Linked DNA regions of Mus musculus: all the other regions are reported to be linked to region 1. The links are microRNA targets in miRTarBase. Many come from high-throughput screens and were not tested one by one. Region 1 holds a microRNA gene; each other region holds the end of a gene's coding sequence.

What was found. Region 1 holds the annotated microRNA mmu-miR-208a-5p (GAGCUUUUGGCCCGGGUUAUAC, at 2,396-2,417, shown strand). A microRNA usually pairs through its seed, bases 2 to 8, with sites in the 3' UTR of a target mRNA and lowers its output. Matches are read on the target gene's strand: a 7mer-m8 pairs with bases 2 to 8, a 7mer-A1 pairs with bases 2 to 7 and ends in A, and an 8mer does both.
Region 2: miRTarBase lists Reep3 as a target of mmu-miR-208a-5p. Seed matches in the 3' UTR shown: 7mer-m8 at 2,167-2,173.
Region 3: miRTarBase lists Clmn as a target of mmu-miR-208a-5p. Seed matches in the 3' UTR shown: 7mer-m8 at 3,868-3,874 and 7mer-m8 at 5,984-5,990.
Region 4: miRTarBase lists Fgfr1op2 as a target of mmu-miR-208a-5p. Seed matches in the 3' UTR shown: 7mer-m8 at 2,504-2,510.

Annotation. Positions count from the first base shown.
Region 1 is chr14:54,944,404-54,951,523 of GRCm38, reverse strand. It overlaps Mir208a (microRNA 208a), which reads left to right and starts at 2,382; the gene lies at 2,382-2,464. Myh6 (myosin, heavy polypeptide 6, cardiac muscle, alpha) reads left to right here. Exons shown (of 39, transcript NM_001164171.1): 26 at 871-1,260; 27 at 1,346-1,472; 28 at 1,561-1,679; 29 at 1,990-2,186; 30 at 2,729-2,912; 31 at 3,067-3,232; 32 at 3,319-3,443; 33 at 4,302-4,610; 34 at 5,008-5,211; 35 at 6,738-6,863; 36 at 6,971-7,120. Gm52092 (a long non-coding RNA gene) reads right to left here and starts at 484. Exons shown (of 3, transcript XR_003950992.1): 1 at 10-484.
Region 2 is chr10:67,007,813-67,014,932 of GRCm38, reverse strand. It overlaps Reep3 (receptor accessory protein 3), which reads left to right. Exons shown (of 8, transcript NM_178606.5): 7 at 1-31; 8 at 1,147-5,744. The coding sequence ends at 1,203. All of the region lies in intron 1 of Gm31763 (predicted gene, 31763), which reads right to left. Among named protein-coding and RNA genes, the nearest start is that of Gm31763, 6.3 kb to the right of the region's middle.
Region 3 is chr12:104,765,491-104,772,610 of GRCm38, reverse strand. It overlaps Clmn (calmin), which reads left to right. Exons shown (of 14, transcript NM_053155.2): 14 at 648-7,120. The coding sequence ends at 819. Among named protein-coding and RNA genes, the nearest start is that of Dicer1, 17 kb to the right of the region's middle.
Region 4 is chr6:146,595,945-146,603,064 of GRCm38, forward strand. Fgfr1op2 (FGFR1 oncogene partner 2) reads left to right here. Exons shown (of 7, transcript NM_026218.2): 7 at 1,351-3,254. The coding sequence ends at 1,488. It overlaps Tm7sf3 (transmembrane 7 superfamily member 3), which reads right to left. Exons shown (of 12, transcript NM_026281.2): 12 at 6,332-7,120. Among named protein-coding and RNA genes, the nearest start is that of Fgfr1op2, 22 kb to the left of the region's middle.

The sequences.
Region 1 (7,120 bases):
AAGTCCTACCTTCTCCACGTTGAGAGCAGAGGTGTAAGTCCCCTCTCTCCTACCTCAGGGTCTACTCTGTAGTTCATTAAAATTGTCCATTGCACCAAAAAAAAAAGAGAGAGAGAGAGAGAATTCCACAAACTTTCCCTATAGAGACAAAAGGCTAAAATGGCAAATGTGCATACTCCAGATTTAGTCAGGACCAAGTCTAAGGCCACACCAATGAGGTAGGGGTATGAAGAAGAGGGCATCTTATTGATACATAGCTTGGCTTGGAAAGGAGCAATCAAGCTACATCCTGGACCTAGGATACCTAAGGAATCCATGACATGGGGAATCTAGGTGATTAGACCTCATGGTTAGCTCAGATAATTGCAGTAGGATTTGGTTGTTCTTGAGGCAGCTTTGCTACAAATGTTAGTTTAAAAAAACAAAAAACAAAAAAAAAACCAAAAAAACAAAAAAACAAACAAAAAAAACCGAGTGCTCATTTCCTTGCCTTATAGTCAGTGGATCAGAGTCAGGTGAAACTGTTGGCTGTCTGAGGTTCATAATCTCAGGAGATCTCAGGATCCCGCTCCAAACACAGATGCTCAACACTTAGGCTGCAGATGCTCAAACTGAATCTCAGATGCTTTAGGGAAATCCTCCAAACTTTGGCTTCGGCCAATTTTCTATTCTAGGGTGTTTAGCAATGTCCCTTGCTTCTATAGCATCCTCCACACAGTTTAAAATGTCTCCAGCCATCACCAGCTATACCTAGTAGCTGAAAACCCGTGCTAGAGGTTTAGTGCGCATGGGAGCCTTTTAGAGCCCTGGAGCACGGGCCTCAAGGGAGGGGTCCAGGAAGCAGGTCTGATCCTTTGTATCCCTGGCTAGGCACGCATCGAGGAGCTGGAGGAGGAGCTGGAGGCAGAGCGCACAGCCCGGGCTAAGGTGGAGAAGCTGCGCTCTGACCTGTCCCGGGAGCTGGAGGAGATCAGTGAGAGGCTGGAGGAGGCAGGCGGGGCCACATCCGTGCAGATAGAGATGAATAAGAAGCGCGAGGCCGAGTTCCAGAAGATGCGGCGGGACCTGGAGGAGGCCACGCTGCAGCACGAGGCCACGGCGGCGGCCCTGCGCAAGAAGCATGCTGACAGCGTGGCGGAGCTGGGCGAGCAGATCGACAACCTCCAGCGGGTGAAGCAGAAGCTGGAGAAAGAGAAGAGCGAGTTCAAGCTGGAGCTGGATGACGTCACCTCCAACATGGAGCAGATCATCAAGGCCAAGGTGGGCCCTCTCAGCAGCTCCCCTCCTCCCTGCCAGTCGTGGCCCTTTCCACATTCACCTTTCCTCTGCTCATTAATGCCTGCAGGCCAACCTGGAGAAAGTGTCCCGGACACTGGAGGACCAGGCCAATGAGTACCGCGTGAAGCTGGAAGAAGCCCAGCGCTCCCTCAATGACTTCACCACACAGCGAGCCAAGCTGCAGACAGAGAACGGTGGGTGCCCCTTACCGTCCCCTAGCCTGCCCCTGGTAGCTTTGGTTTCCCCCTTCCATGGCCCAAGAACCCTTCATTCCACCTGCAGGGGAGTTGGCTAGGCAACTGGAAGAAAAGGAGGCATTGATTTCCCAGCTGACCCGAGGCAAGCTCTCCTACACCCAGCAGATGGAGGACCTCAAGAGGCAACTGGAGGAGGAAGGCAAGGTGAGGCCCATATAATGGCAGTGGGACAGACTCCGTGGCATCACTGGACACACTGTTACCTCCAAGAGTGCACCTGGATGCCAGAGGTAACCTGGTAACCTATCTCCCTACTAAATGGTCAGCCCTCCTGATCATTTAATGACTCCTTATTGGTAAAGGAGAGAGGTAGGCAAATGGAAATCACTCAAAGACATTGAGACTCCACTTCATGTGGGTGAATCTGGGTCTTGACTGAAGTAAATACGCATAAGAATCTAGAGACTGGAGGGTTGGGTTTGCTCCAATCTCCTTGATGCCCACCTCTTCCCAGGCCAAGAACGCCCTGGCCCACGCACTGCAATCATCCCGGCATGACTGTGACCTGCTGAGGGAACAGTATGAAGAAGAAATGGAGGCCAAGGCTGAGCTACAGCGTGTCCTGTCCAAGGCCAACTCAGAGGTGGCCCAGTGGAGGACCAAGTATGAGACGGATGCCATACAGAGGACGGAGGAGCTGGAGGAAGCCAAGTGAGTCCACTGTGGCTGCCCCTGGATTTGCCAAGAGAATGGAGCAGAGCGTCTGCTGTGGAGACAGGCAGAGTAGATGCAGGAAAGAGCTTTGGGGTGGGAGAACAGAGGATGGGGAGACCTGGTGAGCCATGGGAGTGTTTGGTAGAAAGCCTGAGTCCTGCAACCTGTAACGCCTGGCTGGCCCTTGCTTACTTCCTTTGACGGGTGAGCTTTTGGCCCGGGTTATACCTGACACTCACGTATAAGACGAGCAAAAAGCTTGTTGGTCAGAGGAGCTATCATCATGCAGCCTGGGCCTGAGGGAAGCGGGTGGGGGTGCACAGTCACACAGATGTGATGTATGTGTGGGAGAGTCTGAGCAGCCTGTGATGGACGTCTCTGTTCTAGGCTCCAGTAGCCCTCACATCCTCTAGGCTGGGGTTCCAACATCTTAGGGAACTGTGGGGAGAAGCTGGGTCTTTCCCATCAACACTCGGAAGGAGGAGATCATCTCACGTCCTTGTGGCTCCAAGTACAGTCACATACATTCCCCTGGACAGGAAGAAGCTGGCTCAGAGGCTGCAGGATGCAGAGGAGGCAGTGGAGGCCGTCAACGCCAAGTGTTCCTCCCTGGAGAAGACCAAGCACAGGCTGCAGAATGAGATCGAGGACCTGATGGTGGACGTGGAGCGCTCCAATGCCGCCGCCGCAGCCCTGGACAAGAAGCAGAGGAACTTTGACAAGGTAGGCTCACGGTGGGGCTGCAGACACTGTGCATGCTGCTGGTGGGGTCAGTGCCAGCTCAAGGCCACAGCATGTTCCTTGGAGGTGGGGGAGGAGGGCTGAGTCAGGAGAGGGGCCTGGGCAGTTCTGGTCACAGGGCGCTCCTTCCCTGCAGATCCTGGCTGAGTGGAAGCAGAAGTATGAGGAGTCGCAGTCAGAGCTGGAGTCTTCCCAGAAGGAGGCGCGCTCCCTGAGCACAGAGCTCTTCAAGCTCAAGAACGCCTATGAGGAGTCTCTGGAGCACCTGGAGACCTTCAAGCGGGAGAACAAGAACCTCCAGGGTGGGCGAGCTGGGGGACAGGGAAGAGCCTCAGGGAAAGGGAAGTGGGGCAAGGCATATTGATCTTTCTGGTCCTCTGATCCTCAGAGGAGATCTCAGACCTGACTGAACAGCTGGGAGAAGGGGGGAAAAACGTGCACGAGCTGGAGAAGATCCGCAAACAGCTGGAGGTGGAGAAGCTGGAGCTGCAGTCAGCCCTGGAGGAGGCTGAGGTAAGGGCCTAACTAGGCACTCTCCAGCCTGTCCTGCTGTATCCTGTCTTACCGCCTCACAGAAGTCACCCTGACCCCAGGACACAAATCTATTGGCTCCCATTCTTAGTAGACAGTCACCATGGGTATTCTTAGATACCCAGGAACAATGACTTCCCCCAAAGTTGAGTTCCTCACATTGTACAATGCCACAGTCTGGTTTGTAGGACAGAAGGCTTGCTTGCTTCCTGGCTGGAATCGGGCTATCATAATATCAGCTCAAACCACTGGGTAGGAACACAGGCTCCAGGGTCAAATGACCTAGGTTTGAACCCTGTCTTGAGACCCTCTGTGTGCCTTGCTGCCCTCATCTATAAGATGGAATTAATGTATAAACCTCATAGGATTATGTATATGATAATTATGAAGACTGAGTAAAATAACACAGTCAAGCACTTACTAGCCATGCTTGCTGCGCATTTCTAAGAACTTGGGACAGCCCGGGATTAGGGCTATAGACACTTCAACCTTTACTGTGATTTTTTGTTTTTAGTCAGATGGGTCAGGAACTCCTGCTATGTTAGTCCCAAAGGCCTGATGACTGAGAAGTCTTAATTCGGCTGTAGAGATGGCTCAACCATTAAAGGCTAGGCTCACAATGAAAAATATAAGAGAAGTCCTAATCCTCTCCTTTATAGAGGAAGATCCAGGAGTCAGGCCCTGGAGGCTCAGCACTTTCTCTCCCACAGTCGTCTAGGTACAGGACCTATCACCACAGCACCTTCCTAGGCCACAGTCCTAGTCTGCCATCCTCTCCTTCTCCATACCCAACCCAAGTCAGCCTTAGTTACCCACCTCTGACTCCTCTCCGCTTTCCAGGCCTCCCTGGAGCACGAGGAGGGCAAGATCCTCCGTGCCCAGCTGGAGTTCAACCAGATCAAGGCAGAGATCGAAAGGAAGCTGGCAGAGAAGGATGAGGAGATGGAGCAGGCCAAGCGCAACCACCTGCGGATGGTGGACTCCCTGCAGACCTCCCTGGATGCGGAGACACGCAGCCGCAATGAGGCCCTGCGGGTGAAGAAGAAGATGGAGGGCGACCTCAACGAGATGGAGATCCAGCTCAGCCAGGCCAATAGAATAGCCTCAGAGGCACAGAAACACCTGAAGAATTCTCAAGCTCACTTGAAGGTAACAGGAGCCAGGCCTCTAGAAAGTGGTAAGTCAGAATATGTATAGTGCCCAGAAAGATGATAAAGGTCCACAACACACCACTCTGAATATAACCCAATCTTGTCTGCTCTTGGAAGCTAAGAGGGCTGAGACTGGTTAATGCTTGAATAGGAGATAGTAAATGACAGGGAATAAATGGACTAACGTAAGTATGAGAAAGTGGGAACTTTCTGCCTCCTGGGTTTGTAGGCACGAGGAACAGTGCACTCTGGACCAGTCGAGCCTCAGGACAAGAGAGTAAGATAATGAAATAGGTGCTTATCTTCCTGATGACAAGAGGTGACGTGTGCCAGACTCAAGATGGAGGTCTGTTGGCATGAGGTCCAGGCCCTTTACCATCATACTTTCCCCACAGGACACCCAGCTCCAGCTGGATGATGCTGTCCATGCCAATGACGACCTGAAGGAGAACATCGCCATCGTGGAACGGCGCAACAACCTGCTGCAGGCGGAGCTGGAGGAGCTGCGGGCTGTGGTGGAGCAGACGGAGCGGTCTCGGAAGCTGGCAGAGCAGGAGCTGATTGAGACCAGCGAGCGGGTGCAGCTGCTGCACTCGCAGGTGACAGAGTTGGGGACCCTGTGCAGAAACCCACTGAGAGTCAGAGACCGGGATAATTTTAGACCAAGTCAAGCGGCATTGCAAAGTATCTCACTTCTTGGGTCAGCTCTCATCTGTTAGTAGCAGCTGGGAGAACCATTGTCTCCAGCAAGAGGAACAGACTTAGAAGCTAAGTGTGTCACGGCTGAATGGTAGTGCACCTGTGAGTCACAAATCTGGGAACCACAGATTGCCTTTTGTCATCTGATACCCTGATCTACAAGACAGCCTCCAACTTGATTTGTAAAGATAGGAGCTGGGGAATTTAAAAATGTGTAACTGGGGCTGGAGAGATGACTCAGCAGTTAAGCATGTTTACTGTTCTTTCACAGGACCCCAAAAATTTGGTCCACAGCACCCAAATCAGGTGGCTCACAATCTCCTACAACTCAATTCCAGAAGATCTGAGGCCTGTGACCTCTGTGGGCACCTGTACTCACATGTACATATTCACTCATATGCTCATGTGCATGCACACACACTACATGTGCACACACAGATATGTACATACACACTCACACATACACATGTATACACACATATGCACACACACATACACACATGTACACACACATACATGCACATGCACACACATACATACACAGATATGCACACACATACACATGTGCACACACATACACATACGTGCACATGCACACACATGCACGGGTGGGGGAAAGACATTTTTAAGAAGCAGAACTACATCCTCTTGCCAGGCAAACGATGGGAAGAACACTGCTATGCACATTCCCACTGTATCCAGTCCTACTCCAGATGAGTGTTTGTGCTGAACTATTGCAGTGCCTTCTGTGGCTTTGTTCCATAATTTAGCATATTAGAATATTCTGGGGGCCAGGCTTCTTTAATTTTCTATTAGTGTTATTTGTACATGTTTACATGTGTGCACATGGGTGCACAAGACATGTGCACATATATGTGCACGTGTGAGGAGGCCAGAGGTTAACACTGGGTGTCTTCCTCTGTCATTGTCCATCTTATCTTCTGAGGTGAACTAACTATCTCACTGAATGTGGGGCTCACCAGCTGGATGGGTGGGCTGACCAGTGAGCTTCAGAGTTCCATCTGGGTCTGACCTCTGGTCACTGAGGTTACAGGTGTGCACCATGACATCAGCTTCCTCATGGGTTCTGGAGATCTGAACTCAGACCCTCATGCTTGAGTGGCAGGTGATTTTCTGCCCAAGCCATGAGCCATCTCCTCAGCCTTAGATGACTTTTTCATCTTTCCCCTCTCCCTCTTCCTCCTTCCCTTCCTCGTCCCAATCTTCCTCCTCTTCCTCCTTCCCCTCCTCCTCCTGCTCCTCTTCCTCCCTCTCCTCCTACCCCTCCTCCTCTTCCTCCTCTCCCTCTTCCTCTTCTTCATCCTCTTCCACCTTCTTCTTTTTCAACAGCCTCTTTTAATTTTTTCTGAAAAAAAAAAAACTATGGAACTAAGCAATAAAGTGTGCATTTGATATTTTTTTCTAGAACACCAGCCTCATCAACCAGAAGAAGAAGATGGAGTCAGACCTGACCCAACTCCAGACAGAAGTAGAGGAGGCAGTGCAGGAGTGTAGGAACGCAGAGGAGAAGGCCAAGAAGGCCATCACAGATGTGAGTCCCCTCCCCTGCCTACCCACTCCAGAGCAGCATCTCCCTAGCCTGGGCAGTGAGCCCACGAGGACCTGAGCAGACCACATGCTCTCCTCTCCCACACACAGGCCGCAATGATGGCTGAGGAGCTGAAGAAGGAGCAGGACACCAGCGCCCACCTGGAGCGCATGAAGAAGAACATGGAGCAGACCATCAAGGACTTGCAGCACCGTCTGGACGAGGCAGAGCAGATCGCCCTCAAGGGCGGCAAGAAGCAG
Region 2 (7,120 bases), not on the chromosome of region 1:
ATCTGTCAAGACCATCAAAGGCCGCAAAGAGGTCAGTGTGCACTGGGTAATGCTTTTCCCGACAATGTGTGTGAGGAGGGATTTCTTCCTTCCTACTTTGTCATCACAGCTGTGAAGTGATCAGCGGACGAAGGATTCAAATGAGAGTGTAGCGTTATAGTTCAAATTCTTTATTAAAAGCAGGTGTATTAGGGATCTCTAGGGACAATTTTTTTTTTCCTGGAAATTTTGAAATAGGAAACTTTTTTTTATCTTGTGCTCTACATAGAAAAAGTGTCATTCCCACACAGCAAACCCCATGGCTTTTGTAAATCTCTATTGCTTTCTCTGTGCCCGAGCAGAGAAAGCTGCTGACAAAATTAACTGCATAGTTTTGCTTTCAAGAAGCCCTATGTGATGATTAAATAGTAGCAATTTACCTGTAATCACACGGTGTCGTTGGGCTAAGAAAATGAAGGAGGAGCCAGGCTCATTGACTGACTTAGTACTCAGCAAACATAAGTACTAAGTCAGTGTCTTTATCTATGATTGATAATGTCACGTGCTACACACACCCATCACATCACAAGCTACATGTCTGTGGGAGTTCTTAATAAGGAGGTTGCTTGCCAGGGAGTTGCTTTGATGGCTGGTTGACTGGTTGGTTGGTTGGTTGATTGGTTGGTTGCTTTGATGGCTGGTTGACTGGTTGGTTGGTTGGTTGGTTGGTTGGTTGATTTTTGATTGATTAATTGGTTGGTTGAATAATTGACTTGGGTGCTGTATTAGGAATTGAACAAGGACCCCATGCAGGCTATGCAAGAACGACACTTCCGAGCTACATTAGCAGCACATTTTATTTTGAGGTAAGAACTCAGTAAGTTGTCATTCTGTGGCCCAGGCCCAGGTAGATCCTGAACTTACAGTCATCAGGCTTGGGTCTCCCAAGCAGCTGACAAAGAAGCTGATTCTTTATGCCAGATGAGTAAAACCGTTACTATGGCGACAAAATATTAAAACTTTCCTAATTTTAAAAAGTAGTCAGTCCCTTTAGTTTTGTTTGTTTTAGTTTGGTTTAGCCAGTATACAGAGTAACAAATCCTTAACGGCTTTTCCATAGTCATTTTGGCTTTCCTATTGTTAACCCTAACACTTTTCTTTCTTCAGGTGCGGTATGGCTCACTAAAATATAAAGTGAAGAAGAGACCGCAAGTGTATTTTTAGTGTCTACACCTTGCCCTTCCCAAGATGAATAAACCGCTAACAGATCAACTTCATTTTCTAACCTGATGTATTCAGGGCTTAACACTTTAAATCTTCAGAGTGTGGCAGGGATGGGATTTACGCAATGACTTTAAATGGTCTGTGTTTCTTTAACAATTACTTTTAGATGTTTAACTGCTAAACTTAGTTATGTAAGGTTTGTAAATGTACGTGTAGATAACAAAAGTGACCGAGAATCGCGTCCCTGATGTCAGCAGCAACACTGAGTGCCTAGGGCCTAAGGATAAAGCCTAGCTAGACCCAGGGCAGACTTCAAAAGTCTCTGCTCCAGGACACACCTGCCTGCCGTTCTGGTGTTGCATTCTGTTTACATCATCTTGCCTGCATCTATCACAGGAGAGTGGTGACAGCCCCTGAGGAGCCAGTGTCATTGCCATAGGAGGGGGCTGTGTCCTTCCTTAAGCCTTAGACGCTGAAAGTTTTTTAAACAAATGATTTGAAAACCAGGTGTCCACATAGCACTTTCCTGGCTAGTTTTGCACACTTGAAAATTGTTTACTTATTTTACAACTGTACATTTACATTTTCCTGATGCTGTCTGTTTTGTTGTCTGTCATATTCCGACATGTCAAGATCATGCCTTGAAACCGCGTCATCTCCTTTTCCTATGGGTTTGTTTCGTTTGGTAAATCCATTCAGCCCATTATAGACACATAACTGTTAAGTTTGTAGTCTTTTGTTTTGTTTTATTGAGGTAGGGTCTCTTCCCTGATCCTCGTCCTGCTTCCACTTCGCCATTGCTGGGATAACAGACGTTATCACACTTGGCTCATTTTAAATGCCCTTCAGTTATATTCCGGACATCTGAGAAGTTATCTTAAACATTAACCAGTTTCCATCATTGAATTTGATGTGGTTTTTCTCAACAGCAAATTATTCTAGGTTATTCTAGGTTAAAAAAAAAAAAGCTTTTGGGGGCTGGAGAGGTGGCTCAGAGGTAAAGAGCACTGGCTGCTCTTCCAGAGGTCCTGAGTTCAAATCCCATCACCCACGTGGCAGCTCACAACTGTCTGCAATCCAGCTCCAAGTGATTTGACACCCTCACACAGATATGCGTACAGGCAAAACACCAATGCACATTAGATAGAGATAGATAGATAGATAGATAGATAGATAGATAGATAGATAGATAGATAGATATTAGATAGATAGATAGATAGATAGATAGATAGATAGATAGATAGATAGATAGATTGATTTTGTGGAAGCGTCACAGACCAATGTAGCACTTAGTGTTTTCTAACTCATGGACTTCCCAATGCCCACACTCAGCTCCTGAGCTCGGCAGAGGCCTATGCTGCCTTACAGACCCAGCAATGACTAACATCTTTTAGATCTTTTTCTGCCTGAGATTATTCTCTGAAAATGAGTGTCAGGGTAAAACACAAACACCATTGATGCTACGTAACAGGCTTCCAGAAAAATGCCATCTTTTATTTTATTTTATTTTATTTTATTTTTGGGTTTTTTTTTTTCGAGACAGGGTTTCTCTGTATAGCCCTGGCTCTCCTGGAACTCACTCTGGAGACCAGGCTAAAGGCCTTCTTTTTAATCTAACAGATTTAGAGGGATTGAACTCAGCTCCTTTTAGGTTGCCCTACTAACTGGACATTGTGGACACTAAATCATATTGGGGTGATGAATAATCAAATTTTCAATATCAAACAATGCTTACATGGGGGTGCCTGAATGGCCCACACACACAATGACCTCTTGATACTACGAATATTTTCTACACAGAATCACATTGTTAATATTTTTAACACGAAATAAAAATTCAATCTTTTTCCTCCCCAATTTAATCTTGTATCTCCATCTACTTTGCTTTGACTAATAGCCTCTTCCTTTCGAAAAGGATTCTTTAATTTCTATTCAAACATCTATAAAGTCCCACAATAAATTATTGGACAGGATGTATTCATTTCTCATGAACCAGACCTGCTCTGAACCAATGCTGTGCGGCATGGGTGGTTTTCCCTGCAGAGGCCGTGTTACCTGATAAGGTGATGTGATAAGTACAGTAAGTTACTTTGTCTCCATGGGGACAAATTGGCAAGATTGTATCATATTCAAGTCCAGTATCAGTATTAAACTTACCCTTAGGAGCTAAGGATAGACACCATGCTTGAGGTACACAAGGCCTTGAGTTCAATCCCAAAACCAAAAAAAAAAAAAAAAAAGATAGTTAAAACAAACTTATTATTATTTAATGAGTTTGTATACTATTTGTTTCTTCTTTTGACTTTTGTTTGTTTGGGTGGAGGGTGTTTTGTTTTGTGAGACAGAGTCTCTCTGTGTAGCCCTGGCTGTCCTGGAATTCACTCTGTAGGTCAGGCTGGCCTCAAACTCACAAAGCTCCACCTGCCGCTGCCTCCCAGATGCTGCCATTAGAGGTGTGTCCCACCATGCCCAAGTTGTTTTGAGACTAAGCCTCACTCTAGCCAGCCTGAAATGCACTGTGTAGCCCAGGCTTACTTCCAGTATATGGTCACTCTGGATGCCTCCGCCGCCTTTTTTTTTTAAATATTTTTTATTATTATGTATTTTCCTCAATTACATTTGGAATGCTATCCCAAAGGTCCCCCATACCCTCCCCCCCCCCCACTTCCCTACCCACCCATTCCCATTTTTTGGCTCTGGCATTCCCCTGTATTGGGGCATATAAAGTTTGCGTGTCCAATGGGCCTCTCTTTCCAGTGATGGCCGACTAGGCCATCTTTTGATACATATGCAGCTAGAGTCAACAACATTATGCCTCCGCCTTCTAAGTGCTGAGATTACAGGTGTGTGGCTCCATACCCTACTTCACAGGCGTTTTAAATTGGGAGAAATATCACGTTCTAGAATCAAAATTCTCAAGCAAAGATACCGCCTGACTCGGAGCTAAAGTTGGCTGACCTGCTCACTGCCGTTCACCCTCCCGGTCCTGGTCCCTGCTCGGGCTTGTCCCTGCTGTAGACATGCTCATATGCGCTTGATGACTGTCCTACCCCGCTTTGTTTCTGTCCCCAAGGTCTCATGTCATAGCATGCCCTTTTCTTTGAACTCTGTATGCTGAGCTAAAGCGCTGTTTTGTTCTGTTTCTCTTAAAGAGGACCGGGTCACCTTGTTTGTTTCTGCTTTTGAGCATGCTGATTTTTTCAAGAGATGTAAATTTATTCATAGACCACAGTGCCTTGACTTAACCCACACTGCCAACTGGAGCACCAGCACGCGAATGCACAAACCGGTTTAAGGCACTGTTTCTCTCTGCCTTTTGACATGTATCCAAAAATTATAGCCTACTAGCATTTCATCTTAGTATCCAGTCGTTCAGCATGATCACTAACATTCCCCGTACTTAGCTGTTGTTTAAGTATAAAAATTGATATGTCTATACTGTGTCTTTCTTTTTCCTTTCTGGTATTAAGAAGAGCCATAGCTGGAGAGATGGCTCTGTTTTAAGAATGCATACTGCTCTTACAGAGGACCTGGATTCAGTTCTTAGTGCCTAAGCCAGGTGTTTAGTTCACTGCAGCCTGCAGTGCCAGCTCCTGGGGGTACAATACCTTCCTCTGATTTCCAAGGGCACCTACGTGCATGTGAACATTCTTTCTCACGGATACACATACACACATCATTTGAAATTAAAAAAAAAAAATCCTGTGAAAAACAAAAAGGAACCAGAAATAAGCTGATTACTACATAAACAATTGTCTACGGCCACCTCAGTTCCTCATAGGTCCCCTCCACACACACTGTGTGTGTTTTCTAGGGCTAAAAAAATGAGATCTTGCTATCGTTTCTAGCAATAAACACTTTAGCACATAGAGGTCTGGGACAGAACTAACTCCTCATGTGTTTTCAGGGATCTTATTCCATGTGTCACCACCAAAGACTTCCACAGTATTATAAAACATGTAACTACTCTAAAATGACGTCAGCCCTTGGCTACATCGTCTTCTTTCTCTTTTGTACATTTGGAGAAATGCCTGAACCTTAATGGTATTACTATAATACTGTCTTATATTAACTGTAGGGTTTTTTCATTGGAATATTGTCTGCCATTGGAGGGGCGGGGGAGACAACGAATGAAGATCTAAATACAGAAATCTGAACACAAGTTCCAAAGCGTGTCCTCTGACCTCTCCCTTTTAGGTTGACTTATTTGTGAAACAGGTAAAATTTGAGAGGGTCATTGTTTTGTGGTTTGTACTATTTCTTAAGAAACATACCCTAAGATTAAATTTTTTCTGAAAAGAAAGTATCTTTTTTTCCTAAGTACTTCTCAAGTTAGTCTTTTAGTGGGAATTCTGCCGATTAACCTTGACTTAACATTTTTTTCCTTCTAATATATATTTTTTAACTCTGTGTACTTTAATACTTTAAGTGGAAATAATTTTATAAAATCTCTGTTAAATCTCAAGCCCCAAATGTGGGTGGCTCTGCATGTGTGTTTTGGGAAACTTTTACAATAAAGTAAACTCATTTTATTAGTGGCAGCTGAGTATTTTTTTTTCTTTATGTGTCTGAATATGTATGTTGAAGTCTGTGAATTGATGTCCTTTATTGTTCGTTATTAGTAACAGAGAACATGTCCATGTCCTTCAGCTTGCAGCAAGTCAGGACTGTTGTTACTTTCTGTAAAGCTTCACTTGGGCTGAGGAAGGAGTCCTGGGTTGTGAAGTCTGGATGCTAAGACAGAGAAGCAGGGCAGACACCACAGGAACTTTGTCACAGTGACTGACAGACTGTCTTCAGCATCGAGTGTTAACAGAAAATTCAGGTTTGTGGATGCTGAAAGTGTTCTGGAGTTCTGTCTGTCTGAAAGGCAGAGGAGGTTTGTCTGCATCGGGTTTTAACTTTAGAGATAAATCCTGATCTAAAAGCTTGGGAGGCAGAAGCAGGCAGATCTCTGAGTTCAAGGCCAGCCTGGTCTACAGAGTGAGTTCCAGGACAGCCAGGGCTATTCGGGAGAAGCCTTGTCTTGAAAAGAAAAAAGGAAAGGAAAGGAAAGGAAAGGAAAGGAAAGGAAAGGAAAGGAAAGGAAAGGAAAGGAAAGGAAAGGAAAGGAAAGGAAAGGAAAGGAAAGGAAAAATCCCTTATATTGCTTTATTATGCTATGCAGTATATGTTCATTTTCAGATAGCATTGAAAATAGCGTTATAAATTACAGTTCTTAGTCTTTTTATCAGGCTTATCCTTGTCATGGCCAAACAGGGCTATAAATTTAAACAGAAATTCAAAAGTACACAGTGAACTTGTGAAGTACTTCATTGATGTTTGTTTTTTCCCTTGGGGTTTTATTTTCCCTTGAAGTAGTTAGTTAACTGTCCTTACAGAGATGTGTGGAAAAAATCACATTAGGGACACGTTGTTCCCGGAAAGTATTGTGTTCATTTATCTGTTCATCAATCTATCTGAGTCTCGAGGCCAGCCTGGTCTATGGAGCGAGTTCCAGGACAGCCAGGGCTACACAGAGAAACCCTGTCTAAAGAAATAAATTGCTCTTTAGAAGAATGTTCTTTGAATTGGAATTATAATTACCTGCTCTGTAGGTTACTAAAGAAGTGTTCTCAACAACAGGAACTTCAGGCACCAGGCATGTATGTAGTATGTGTATGTAACCAGGCATGTATGTAGTATGTGTATGTAACCAGGCATGTATGTAGTATGTGTATGTAAATGCAGGCAAGACACTCATATGCTCTTTTTAAAAAATGGCTTTTAGAGAAAGAAGAACAGGGAAAAGGTGCCATATTAAAAAAGGGAAGGGGCTGGTGAGATGGCTCATCAGGTAAGAGCACCCGACTGCTCTTCTGAAGGTCCTGAGTTCAAATCCCAGCAACCACATGGTGGCTCACAACCATCTGTAACG
Region 3 (7,120 bases), not on the chromosome of region 1:
TGCAGCTCATACTTCAGGCTTCTGTGTATCAGTTCCCCACCCACCCCTTCCTACCTTTCCTTGGGATGGTTGGTTTTTGCCACCACCTATTCCCTCCAGTTAGCACCCCGTTCATTACCTGCCAGGCAAAAGCAACCTGGCTCACTTGTTAAACCCCCCCTCCCACCACCTAAAAGAAAGGTAACTCTGACCCAAATCAAAGCTGACAGTGCTTCTGAAGGCAACCTGTCAAAGGCAAAACTTGGGGTGACTTGACTTGTTTGTCCCCAGTAGCTGCTTTGAAATTATCAGCCAAAGTCCCTTTAGTAACTGAGGCGTAGGTAGGTGAGAGCTGGCAGTCCTACCTCCTCCTGAACTGTCCCAGGAGACCTGGCTCAGCTCTATCATGAAGTAATTGTGTGGCCTTTGACAACTGCTGCCCAATGACTGTCACTGTGGTCATTTGTGAAATGGTTGGCATGGCTCCTTCTGTTAGGGAGTGGTGATGGAGCTCCCTCTCCTGGAACACACACACACAAATGGGGACCTCCCTGATGTATTATGGGAGCCTTTATCTGCGGATGGGTTGTGGGGTTGAGGTTCAGGATGGTCTTCCAATCATAGGGACCCCACCAATAACCATCCTGTCCCTTTCTTTCCTTCTGCAGGACTGGCACCAACTCCTCTGGAGAAGCTGTGCCCCTGGGGAACCAGAGCCCGCCCAACGACTCTCTGACGCAGTTTGTACAGCAGCCCGACGTGATATATTTCATTCTCTTCCTCTGGCTCCTCGTTTACTGCTTACTGCTCTTCCCACAGCTTGATGTCAGCCGGCTCTGAAACATGTGTCTGGAGAATAAAAAGACAGGACCCTGGCCAGGGCGGAGTCTTTCTACCGCATCTTACTGTCTGTTCAGGGTTGAGCCACCTGTGCAGAGATGGAAGACGGCAGAGGGAGCACAGGCCCCACACCCCCTGTTGCTGTCCGGTTCAGTCTTTGCTCACATGTCCTCTGATTCTCTAAGCCCCCCTCCCAGCCCCCCCCCCCCCCCGAGAGCATGCTTTCTTTCCAGACTGTGTGCTCCCAGCTCAGGTTTGAGGCTGGATCTGTGGACGCGATTCCTCCTTATGTGCCTTGTTTGGTCAGATGCGAGTCCTTACTAATGTGTACCCCAAACCTGGGTCTTAACATGTGCACATGCAGGTTCCTAAGGTCCTGGAGGAGCTTGAGTTACTTCCTTTTATCTCAGGGGAGGGCCTGCCCAACTCTGAGAAAGAGCGGAGTCTGTGGTAGGAAGAACGGTACCCTGTTTGCCTTCAAGTGTGAGTGTTTGAGCGATAACCTGCCCCAGCCTGGTCATCCATTGCTGGGGACTTAAACAGCACATACCTGCCCGTTCACTGGAAATTACACCCGGCCATTGGCAGACTCCAAAGAAGAGGGTGTTTCTGCCAGGTTTGTTGTGAGCTACAACCCATTCGTCTTTCACCTTGGTGTTCTTGGAGGGTTGCGTTTTTAATTCGCCTTTTTATTGATTGAATTGAGGTACGGCTCTAGTTTTAAAACCTGCCCATCAGTAGGACCTCCTATCAGATGAAAGCCAGTCTAGATTTGCATGCAAAGCAAGGCTCTGGCTGACTGGGGTAGCCCTGACTCTCCCTTCCTCTGCTGAGTCTTCTGTATGGAACCTGTCTTTTTTGAGGGGCTGCATGAGGTTGCCCCAGGGGGCTGGAAGTGGCCCAGCCAAAATAAGCTCCCACAAATGGTGGCGCTGGGAGGGTTTCTGCAGGTTTCTGGGCTCAGGAGGCATTCGTACCTTGGCACCAGCATCCTTTGCGGTCAACCAAACAGAGATCTTGCAAAGGCTTTCTGGAAAGGACCAGGGTATAGGCTGGGGCAGGCAGGTTGCAGGAAGAGAAAGGTTTCTTTTCTCACCCTCCTGTCTTCCTCGGCCCCTACCTACCCCAGTGTCCCCTGTCCACTTTGCGAAGGCTCAAGTCTGGCAAAGCTCCAGCTTCTTCTTGCCCTTGCTATCCCTCTCAAAAAGCACACACTAGCAGGGCGTGGTGACGCACGCCTTTAATCCCAGCACCCAGGAGGCAGAGACAGGCAGATTTCTGAGTTCGAGGCCAGCCTGGTCTATAAAGTGAGTTCCAGGACAGTCAGGGCTACACAGAGAAACCCTGTCTCGAACCCCCCCCCCAAAAAAAACACACTAGGCAGCCCTTATAAAACCACAAACCGTTAGTCCAGAATGGGCCTCAGGGAGCATCTCTGAACTCAGAGAGGCAGAACAGGCTGGCCAAGGTCACACAGCCTATCACAGACTGGTCACTAGCCCCCAGGCCACTTGGCCCCCGAGTCTGGAACTATTGCTTTTTCTTTGTAGAAAACGTCCAGCCAGGTACACAAATGTCCTCACTCAAACACAGCCGTCCTTTTTAGACCTTTTATTAACCTCCAAGCTTAGCCTGGGCTCCTTCTAGAATGTTCTTGACGGCTGTAAAGGCTTATGTGTTGGTTACTACTCTTGTTGCTGTGACAAAGCAACTGAGAAAACAACTTAAGAAGAAAGGAGAGGGTCTAGGGGCTCACAGCTCCAGGATGCGATCCATCATACAGCGGGCATCGTGGCAGCAGGAATGTGAGGGGGCTAGTCATGTTGTATCGGGAGGCAGAGGAAGGGGAAGGGGGGAAAGAGTGTGTGTTAGTTCAGGTTGGGACCCCCAGTCCAGGGGATGGTGCTGCCCACATTCAGGGCAAGCCTTGCCTCTTTCTGGAAAGACCCTCAGAGTCACTTCCAGAGGTGTGTTTCCATGGATACAATGGGAATGAGGCATCACATCTTGCATCTGACATGAACGCTGCTCTTCACCCAGGAGTCATTCTCCTTAAGCAAACCAACGACTCAGACAATTTACATAGCACATTGAGTCAGGACAGTTAAAAACTTGGCTTCTCAGCCATTTTGATTGGCGTCTGCCTCCCCCTCCCCCCAAAAAAGAATTGAAGCTTTCTAAGAGGAGAGAGGTTGGGGGCTTGGAACACTTCCAGGTTAAAGGCCCAAAGCTCCAAAGAAAGTGAACGACTTAATGAGCTCCCTGGTCCCATTGGAAGTTCAAAAGTACAGATGATAAAGGTTTTATGTGTGATGTTTTATGACCTCGCACACTGCAGGGTCCTTGCCCAGATGAGGTACCAAAGAGGAGCTGGCCCAGATGTGAATCGTTTATTTTATGGGTCTAGACCTTGGTCCGAAGTCTGCGCATACTGCTTCTCTCGCCTCCTGTGGCTTAGAACAGCCTTTAAAACTACTACAGGCAAGATGCCCAAGCATCATTCGGCTCAAACTGGCAGGAAGTTGCTAGTTGAAAGGGAAAAATAATCTCACTTGAGTGTAGGGGCATGTAGAAGAGACCACTTATGGAAAGCTGCTGGCAAGCTGTTGGTCACTCGACATCTTTTAAAAAATTTATTTTTAAAGAGTGAGTGAATGTGTGTGTGTGTGTGCGCGCGCGCGCGCATGAATGCAGGTACCCATGGAGGCCCTAAGAAGGCATCAGATCCCCTCTGTGGGTATGAAGAACTGAATCAGGGTCCAGTGCAAGAGCATCATGTGCGCTTAACTACTGAATCACGTCTCCAGCCTTGCTTAGTTAGCATCTATTAAATAAGAAAGTGCTGTAGGTTTGAAACAAGGGCAGCTGCCCCTGAGGCTCATTTGTGGTCATAGTCCCTTTTGTCTACCTTTCAGCTGTTTCTCCTACTATTCCCTTCTGTGTCCTCTCTTCCTCTTCCTTCTGTGTCCTCTCTTCCTCTTCCTTCTGTGTCCCCCCCCCCTCTGTCTGTTTTTCACCAACTTTTCGAGAAATGGAATGTGAGAAATAAAAAGCTTTAGTTTTGTTTTGTTTTGTTTTGTTTTGTTTTGTTCCATGACTTAACATGTCTGTCTCCTGCCCTACTGTGTGGCTGGGTGTAGCTCCGCAGGTGGCAACATAGCCCTTGCTGCTGCTTTCCAGTGGCAGACTTAAGATTCCGATGCCGTTTCTGCCCCATGCCTTTGTACAAGACAAGGACTCTCCCTTCCCTGGTTGACATCCCCAGTCTCCTTTCTCTTGGTGGCCTGACCTGAGTGTGTCCTGTCCTTTGCTGTGGCACCTATTCTGGGTCCTCATGGGAAACTCCTTAAATCCTCTTACAATTTCTTTCTTTCTGAGCCCCTGGCTGCCCCAGTATGGGGCCTCCCTGGCTTGTCTTCTAACGTTTTTTTGTCTCTTAAATCCCTCACCTCTGTCTGTATCTGCTTCTGAGGGGATTTGCTCCATCTTCTCTTTCCAAGAATGTTTTATTTTTAGCTTCTAAGACTTCTTCCTTGTTCTCTGAGTTTTGTTGTGTAGCCTCCTGTTCTTGGTTCAGGAGTGTGAGTCTTCTTTGTGGCTGACGCAGCTGTTTGGGGGGAGGGGGGACATTGTCTGCCCTCAGATGTGCCTTTGGGTCCTCTAAGGTCCATTTTTCTCGGTTGAGCTGGGTCGCTGTCTCTCACATTGTGCACAGATACCTGCATCTACTCATGTTTCAGGGCGATACACCCAGGAGCTGGCAGGATGTTCTGACAACCATCTGGTAAGGTTCTGTCCAGTGTCGCCCAGTGAGCTGGCTTAGCTCTGAGAGGCTGCCATGTCAGTAGTTAAATGTTTCTTCTGGGGCTTATTCCATTTCCTTACAGAGCTTCCTGCCACTCCTCTGCCTGGAAAAGAGGGATACACACAGGGCTGTTAGCCCATGTAGTACACTTGTGCAATACTAGTAGTGGTCCCCCTCTGGGCAGAAGCCACCCACCATCCATATTTGGTTTAGTTGGCAGAGGACAGCTGTTTTCTCTATCTCTGAGCAGACACAGCCCTCAGGTAAGACAAAGCATGGGTTTTAACCCCCACATGCTCCCTTGGCCAGGTGCCTTAGTGTCAAGCACAAACCATAGGATGGGACCCAGATACCCCTGAGTTCTGTGTTCTGGCCTTGAAGCAGGCAGTCTCAGGAATCACTGTGTAACCACTTGAAGCTGCTCCTGCCTTGCTTCTGTCCCTGGGCTGTGCCCTGCGAGTCCTCTATGAATAGGAGGCAAGACAGTCATCTGGCTGCAATGAGAGGGCAGGAGGCCCAAGAATCAGCGCTGTATCTCACCTTGCAGTCACCATCCCAACCCACAAGCTCATCTTGGGTGCCAAGCTGGGCAGCTCCTCATTGCTGCCCCCTGCAGGCACATGGTAGGGAGGACCCTTCCCTGCCTCTTTCTCAGTGGTCTTCTTCAGCTTTGAATGGGTGGTGCCTGTGGCCTTTGGCTTATCTTTTCCAGTCCGTGGCTCTGGAACTTTCTCTTCCTTTGCACTTCTTCCGACAGGGGAAGTAGGCAAGCACAGATGCTCTGTACCCCATCCTCTGTTTAGCTTTATTACTTTTCAGTTTCATTGTTTTGGGGGGGAGGGGTTGGAGGAGTGTGGTCTTACTAAATAGTCCAGGCTGGCCTTGAACTCTTGATCCTCTTTCCCCATCTTCCCAAGTACGAGGTTACCCCGGTGCTTGGCTTTTGTGTGCCATCTTGACCCATAAATGCCTTTGGGTTTTCTGGCTGGTGGGTTAGGTGGCTCGTGACCCCACTGACTTCACTGTGAACCTGTCTTGAATGAATCTGCTGAAGCTCTGAGACATGAAGGGCCCTGGGAGCATCGGGTGGCACAAGAACGCTGCGTTCACAGGTCACGGCTCAAGGTGTTCGCCTTTCTCCCTCCTTTCAAGTGTTTCCAGCTTCTCCCACAGAACACGTAGATCTCCCAAATCCTCGCCAGATGTGGTCTGTGTGGTCACATGGATTTTAGCCCTGCTGAACCCACACCCCAGCCCTGACTCTCATGTAGGGAACAGCTTATCCACACTAGCATTTGCCAGACAGCAGACAAGGTTCTCTACCAGCTGATGTCTGGAGTTTGGGTAGAATTTCCTCCTAAAAGCTGTGGCTTTTCCTAGCTGTTGGTGACAGGACCAGGGGACTACTGGTCAGGTGTGACTTTGGAGGAGGAATGTGCTTCAACAGACTCTCTAACCCAGGCTGTGTTTCTCCACAGCTGGGCTCAGCTCAAATCCAGCAGCCCACCTGCGCTGTAAGCCATGCACCTAGAAGCCAAGGACTCTCTAAGTCCTAGTCTGTTTGGTGGCATTGGGGGCCATGTGAAGGTCCAGAGGTCCAGCACCATCTTTAGAGAAGGTGTGGAGGACCATGAGTCTTCAGCTGCAGTACCAGTCCAGACAATTCAGTAAGATGTTAAAAAAAAAAAAAGGAAAGACTCAGTACCTATCTTGCCAGTGATTTGGGGATGGCTATTCCTTCCCAATTAAAGTTTGTATAAAACTCCAGCCACCCTCAGTGAGGCCTCTGAACACCTCTGGTGCACATCTCGCCAGAAGTCAGCCAACGAGTGGATAGGATTCCTTGGAAGAACATCATGAACCTGGCTTCCATGGTGAGAACTGTTGCCTTCTGTGGATGTCATTGGCTTGGTGATGTCCGCTCCTTCGTGTGAGTTCATCTTTTCCTCAAACTCCAGAGGGTTCAGTGTAGTCTGAGGTCTGGCCTCCCTCTCCGTCTTGCATGGAGACGCTGCCCTTGGGAATCTCCACTGGCTTTCCTGTCTGGACTCTTGATGAAGCAGATGCAGCATCCAGGGACTGCAGCTGAGTAGCGGCCAAGTCTTCTAGCCTTTTGTCCTGGTGAGGCAGCTGTTCTCATGAGCACATCTGGGATCTAGGTCGAGTAGAGACTGTTGGTGTCTTTTTCTTATTGGCTGAAAATTGCTATGGAGGTTTCCCTTACCCATCACCCCAGAGCACTGTGCCTCCTTCCCCGATGACGTTCACTTGACCATGGCTTCTGCCAGCTTCTCTCTAGCCCCACACTACCAGACTTAGCGTCAGCTGCCCAGTCTTAAATCTAGCAACTTTTACAAGAGGAAGTGTTAAGCCATTGTATACTTGTAAACTCACTTGGCCCTGCCAACAGTCCAGGAAAGTGTTTCCCTTCAGGAAAGATCAAAAAAAACCACTGGACAGAAAGATAAGGTGGTCACAGCCTAGAGCCAGCTAACT
Region 4 (7,120 bases), not on the chromosome of region 1:
AAGCAGGAGGACCTGACTCTGGATCCAACACCATTGTAAAGGTCAGGTACAATGGCTAGCTGGAACAGTAAGTTCCAGGTTCAACAGGAAACCCCATCTCAGCCGGGTGTGGTGGTGCACGCCTTTAATCCCAGCACTCGGGAGGCAGAGGCAGGCGGATTTCTGAGTTCGAGGCCAGCCTGGTCTACAAAGTGAGTTCCAGGACAGCCAGGGCTACACAGAGAAACCCTGTCTCAAAAAAAAAAAAAGAAACCCTATCTCAAAAAAGAAAGTAGATTGCAACAGAGGAAGACTCCTGGCTTCAGCTTTTTGTCTTCAAATGTACATACACACATAGAACAGATACACCCAGAAAATACAATTTAAATCAATTTGCTTGGAATCATGATCAGGAAATTTCCTATGGATGGCCATAAAACCTACCTGTCTTGGAGCATATAGTACTCTCCCATTTATATAATAAGGGTAGGTCAGCTTTCTCAGCAAAGGACCAGAAAGCATTTTGGACTTTGCAAACTAGTCAGTTTATATCTGCTCAACTTCGTTGTGGTAATGCAAAAGGAGAAAGTCAGAACTATGCTCAGAAACAACCCTTGGGCCAGACCATTGAGACTTGAAAAGTAAGCCCACAACAGCTGTAGAGAATAGATTATAAAATGACAAAATTGCTTACAATATTAACCATTTACATATCTTTCTGAAAAATAATTACCTCAGCTGGTCTTGGCTGAACTTAAATTTTGCTGAGGGAAACATACCTACTAACTTCTATTGAGTGATGAAATCTACCTCAAAGTCTTAGTCATATAAACTTATCCCTAGCGCGAGTGTAGATGGGTATTTTATATACACACATATCATCTCCAGTCTGTGCAGAACAAGCTGATTTCTGCCTGGTCACCTGTTGCCTCTGCACACCTTAAGGCTTCCAGCAGTGAGGAGGCTGAGTACTGATGCTGCATCTTAAACACCATTTGAAATCTGGCTTTGTCTTTTGTTTCTTAGATCAAGTCTCACTGTGTAGCCCTGGCTGGCCTAGAACCCTCATGCAAACTAGAAAGCCCTCAGATTCATAGAGATCCCCCTGCCTTTGCCTACCAACTGCTGGGATTAAAGGCAGGTGTCACCACACCAGGCTTTGAAATCTGTTTAGATTGAGGTTGTGACTGCCTGTAACTCATAGTATATCTATCCATTTATGTGTTATAGAGTCTGCTTTCTGTGCCACACTTCATAAAATTGGCTTTTAAAATATGTATCCCTCTTGGAGCTGTCTTAAGGGACTCAGCCAAACCAGCAGTTTCTGTTTCTGCATGTTTCTCATCTTGGGTTTTCCTTATTTTCTTACAGCAAGAAAATAAAGGCTTGAGAGAGATCCTTCAGATAACTCGAGAATCCTTTTTGAACCTTCGGAAGGATGATGCGTCAGAGAGTACGTCTCTATCTGCCTTAGTGACTAACAGTGACCTGAGTCTGAGGAAGAGCTGAGTGGCTTTCTGTGCGGTCACTAGAATGGGCCCAGAAGTGAGTGGATGAGTGAACATAAAGCCCAACTTCAGTCAGCCTTTTCCGTCTGGTATGTACAGGGACACTGGCAAAGAGACGGCAGCAGAATGTATAACCAGTGGTCATAAACTAGATCCCAGTCACAGTCAGAAAGGAGACGCTGAGCCACAGAGTGAACAGCGAGTCTTCAAGGTGCTGCTGAGCACTGCAGTTTCAGAAGTGCTGTTGGCTTCTTAGATGCTACATAGATCACCCTGAATACTCCTAATAAATGTTGGAAAGCCTAAATTATCACAATTTTAAAAGTAAGGTTGGTGTGGTTTTCTGAATGGAAGACTTTGTTCTAAGTCTTACCTTCCTGTTCAGTGTCAGAGTTGGCATAGCTTGTGTACATAAAGCTGCTGAGTTGGTGCTCACCTGCCCATTTGCTCGGCCCTCATCAAAGGCAGTTCATGTTTAAAGACTATAGGAATACGTCACTTGCATCACAAACAGAAGGAACATACTTACACCTAATTCCCATAACTCTTAGCTAGCAGTTATTCACGACTTGCTTAAGTGTATGCATCTCAGGAAAGAAAGACAAAGAATATACTTTCTAAGAAAGACAGCCATATATAGACACATTTAGTAGGTTGAACTACTTTGAAAGATTATGTTTTGGTTCTCTGTTAACAATGAACCTGGTTCTTCCTCCTCTTTTCATCATGTTTAAGGATACAAGACAGTTCACCAATAGACAAGAGTTGACAATTTAATGTAATGAGATAGGTATGGTCATTTCCAAGTTAATTTGGAATTCCTTTATTGTTATTTAAGAAATTACTCTTCATACACTTACAAAGTAGATACAGGTTCCAAAAATCAAAGTTCTGAGTCTGAGTCTAAGCCTCATCTAGTTCTTATAACCTGTGAGGTTTTTCCTACAACCTGTGACTCAGAAACTGGCAGTGAAGTGTGGACACAAAGGGATTGTGCTTTGCACTTTAAAAAAAAAAAAAGCTTCTTAAGGCCACAGGATACAGAAGTGTGCTTTCATACCAACTGCAACCTAAACTTTTCTGTAGTGATAAGAATAAAAGATTATGAGATATGGCTGAAAATACACTATACTTGTATCTGAAGTCCATACTGAAATTAGCACAGACAGAAAGTTAGACTTTTCAATATATCATTTGTTAAGTACATATTACTTTGCAGTGTAATTTTATGTGTAATTTCATGTATTGGCAAAATTAAAAGGACTTTTCACTCCAGAACCTTTCATTCTGAAGTTTGAGGTGAGTGGGGTCATAGGTCAGTTAGGAAAGGGCCAGTTCCCCAGATGTTAAACCGTTCTCATGCAGAGGCCTTAATATTTTATATATAAGTGAATTTACTTTTAAGATTTTTCTATTGTTTTTTGGAAAGTAACCCTTAATTTAATGGTACTTTCTTTCATGTAGTTTTGTCCCAGGCCAGAATTTTAAAAAGAAGAAAAGCGGCACAGACGAGATGAGTCAGATCGATGTATTGAGCAGGTCTATTGTGAAACGTTATTTGAGAAGTAATTATTTTTATAAAAAATTATTTATCCTTTGTTTTCTTGGATATAATTTTAAGGTTGTGAATATTGAAAGACATTTGCTTTGTTTTTAGCAAGTTTTCCACCCCACCCCCATCCCCAAAATAAACAGCTTTAAGCTTACATATGAGAGTGTGCTGAAGAGGAGCCTATTTTGTCAATAAAGATGAGTGTTTAAAACTGGTCTGGTCTCAGGGTTAATTTAAAAACAAAGCTCACATTTCTTAAATATACTTTGTGTCTTTGCTGAGGGGATAGGTGGTGCTAGGGTTTAAACCCAGAACTTTATATACAAGAGCTCTTCTAAGCTGCATACTCAGCTCTTCAGCCTATTTGGGGGGGGGGGGGGCGGGTAGAGGGAGGGGCTGTTTGTGCCAGTGCATTTGTGGGTATGTGAGTGCATGTGTGTTTGTGCACATAACATGCCTTATTCCTGTATAGTGCTGTGACTCCCCTCAATTTTTCCAAGGTCTCACCCAGTCTATAACCTGCATAATATTTTAATGCCCCGGGACTCTCAGACTCTCAGACTTACAGCTCCTGCTTAGAGTTCTCATAACCTCCACACTAATCTGTGTGTAACTACCATAGAGACATTTCAGGCTGAAATTGCCCAAAGCCAAACTCCTCATCCCCAAACTTCTAAAGTGTTCCCCATCCTTGCAGGGCACCTTAGACTTTAGTTTCTTTTATATCTTGCATTGAATTTGTTAGCACGTCCTGCTGGCTGTTTATGCAGGAACATACCTGCTAGCCCTAGTCCAAGCCACAGCAGAGTAGATAATAACATTCACCCTTAGGCTAGGCAGTGGTGGCACACACCTTTGATCCCAGCACTTGTGTGGCTGAAGCAGGTGGATCTCTGGGAGTTTGAGGCTAGCCTAGTAGACAAAATGAATTCTAGGACACCCAGGGCTAAACCATGTCTCCAAAAAAAAAAAAAAAGAACAAAAACAAAAACTAAGAAATCATTGTCAGGACACTTGGTGTAGTATAAAGCAACAGAAAAACCAAAGGCCACATAATAAAAGTGTTAAGTTACACACCTACAGGGCTTGGGAGGTGGCTCAGTTGAGACAGTGCTTGCTCTACAAATATGAGGGCCTGCTCTTGTATTCCTCGAACTTATACAAAAAGCACTGTGACAAAGCCTAGAATTAGGGCCTAAACAGTTCTCAGGATCCTGGGGAAATTCAGGTGGAGGCTGACTTGGATCAGCAGGCTTGGCCACTTTGACTCCAGCATTCTGGTGACTAGGCTCCATTCATTTCTTCAGCAAGCCCATGTGCTTAACCTGGTTTCCCCAGTGCTTGCTTTAAGCTGAGCCTCCTTTGCTTCCCATCTGTGTGGATACTCAAATTGAAGATTTAAAAAAAACAAAACAGTACAGTGTAGGCATTCCATATATACCTCTGTATGTGCTGTGAGTCTTGTTTAAATCACTAGATATTTAATAGCTCTTATTCTTATCTGGAGAAGGCATTTGAGCTAGAACCTGGCAGGGCCTTGCACAGTCTTTACCACAGAGCACATCCTCAGGCCAGGCCACATTCATCTTTACCCTTTATCTTTAAAGGAGAGTGAAGGTGTAACCACAAATATAACTAGCCAGTCAGTCTCTTCCCACAACCTCATTCCCGACCCAGAACTTACTGTACATTTCCTCTGGGTCAGAAACCTGCCTAGTTATTTTTTAAGGTGTATGTACGAACAGCTGAAATTGTACAGGAATTGTTTAAATATAAATAGTTGTCTGTGCATGTGGGACACATGCCACAGTGCACACATGCCTTGGCACATGCTCTGGAGACCAGAAGATGATTCTGTGGCAACAGTCCTCTCCTTCCACCTTTATGAGCTGCAGGGACTGACTTCAGGTCTCCAGATTTGAGGTCAGGTGCCTTTACTCCCTGGGCCATTTGTGAATGAACCACATTTTCTTTATCCATTCCCCAGTTGAGGGACATCTAGCAGCTATTACAAATAAGGCTGCTATGAACATGGTTGAGCAAGTGTCCTTGTGGTATGGTGGAGCATCTTTTGGGATATGTGCCCAAGAGCGGTATAGCTGGGTCTTCTGGTAGAACTATTTCCAATTTTCTGAGAAACCACCAAACTGATTCCCAGAGTGGTTGTAAAGGTTTGCACTCCAGCCAGCAAAGGAGGAATGTTTCTCCACATCCTCATCAGTTTAGTTCTGTATTAGGGAAGATTAGATATTGGAGGTGGATGGAGGGAGGGAACTGACTGGGTAAGGGGATGGGGGAAGCAACGGGGTGGGGGTGGGGGTAGGAATCAGGTGTAGGGAGAGCAAACAAGAGAACAGAAATTGGTGGTGAGCAGTGGCAGGGCATCTCCAGGACCTGCTAGAGAGTCTATGGGGGTAACTAGCTGAGACTCATAGTGGCGGGAGATATGGAGCCTGAATTGGCTACCTCCTATAGCCAGTCAGGACTCCCAACAACCCACACACAAAACTTTAGCCCAAAACTTGTCCTACCTACAAGATGTGTACAAAGATGGAGCGAGACTAAGGGAATGGCCCAACTTGAGACCCATCCCATGGGCAAGAACCACCAGTCCCTGACACTAATTAATGATGCTCTGTTTATGCTTGCAGACAGGAGCCTAGCATTACTGTCCTCTGAGAGGTCCCACCCAGAAGCCAATGGAAAGAGATGCAGAGACCCACAGCCAAACATTAGATGGTTACATGAAGCACAGGGAGTCTTGTAGAAGTGTTGAGGTACTGATGGGCTCAAAGGGGATAGGAACTCGACAGGAAGACCAACAGAGTCAACACACCTGGACCCTGGGGGCTCCCAGAAACTGATTCACCACCAAAAGAGCAAGCATGGGCTGGACCTAGGCCCTCCACACATATGTGCAGATGTGCAGCTTGGTCTCCAACAAATGGAGCAGAGTGGAGCGGGGAAGGCTTACCCTGACTCTTGCCTGTCTGTGGATTCTATTCCCCCAGCTGGGCTGCCTTGTCTGGCCTCAATGAGCTGCGCCTAGTCCTGCAATGACTTGATGTTCCAGGGTGGGGTGATAGCCAAAGGACCTCCTCCTCTGAGGAGAAGAATAGGGGATGGGGGAAGGAGCTGTGGGAGGGGGGGGCTGATATTGGGATGTAAAGTCAATAAATAATGAAAAAAAATGAGTAAATACATTTAAATCTACATAAACCATAACATATCACCCTGGATTCCCTTCACTTCCTGTTATCCTTAAGTGAAGTTCTTAAAACAACTGTATTTTCCAGATTAAATTTATATAAGTACATACAAGACTGGTATAAACTCCTGGAGACATCCTAATAAGGAGGACATTAAGCATTTTTTTCAAAGTAGGTATTTATTACAAAAATTATACAAATGGTATTAAAAATTATGAAAATTTACAAATATTTTGTATTTCCCTCCGAGAAAGCATACTCTGCCTTTTTTAGCTCTGACTGGCAGTGTGTTCCGACAGTACAAAGAATAGTTCTCCAACAATCTGTACAACTAAAATGCAAGCATGTGACAAGCCAGAAACCCTATAGCAATTAAAATATATATATATATTGCTGAAGCTAGGTAGTAATAACAGAATAGGATTTTCAGAAATAAACCAAAAGGGGTTCATTTTATAATTTTTCATTATGTTTTAACTTCAGAACCTTTTTTCAAAGCCACAACTGAAGACTCCACCCACTCCCTGAAATGTCAAGGCTATAGTCATTGCTGTGAAGAGACTAAGAAGCACACCACTGACAAACCAGCGCACTGTGGGCCACACACGTCAGGGAAGCCAGTTCTCAGCCCTGCCGTTCAGAGGAGTCAAGAGCATGTCCCTCCTTACAGAACCCATGGTGGTGGCTAAGTGATCAATCCCTCTGAGCTTCAGAGCACAGGGGCTTTGATTATACAGAGCAATCATTAGCACAACTTCACAGGTGCTAGGAAGGTCTCATTGATGTCTCTCTGACAAAATACGGTCCAGTCACCGTCTAATGCAACCTAAGAAAGAAGGGTCAGCAGCCAACACTGCTCTAAATGGCCCCAA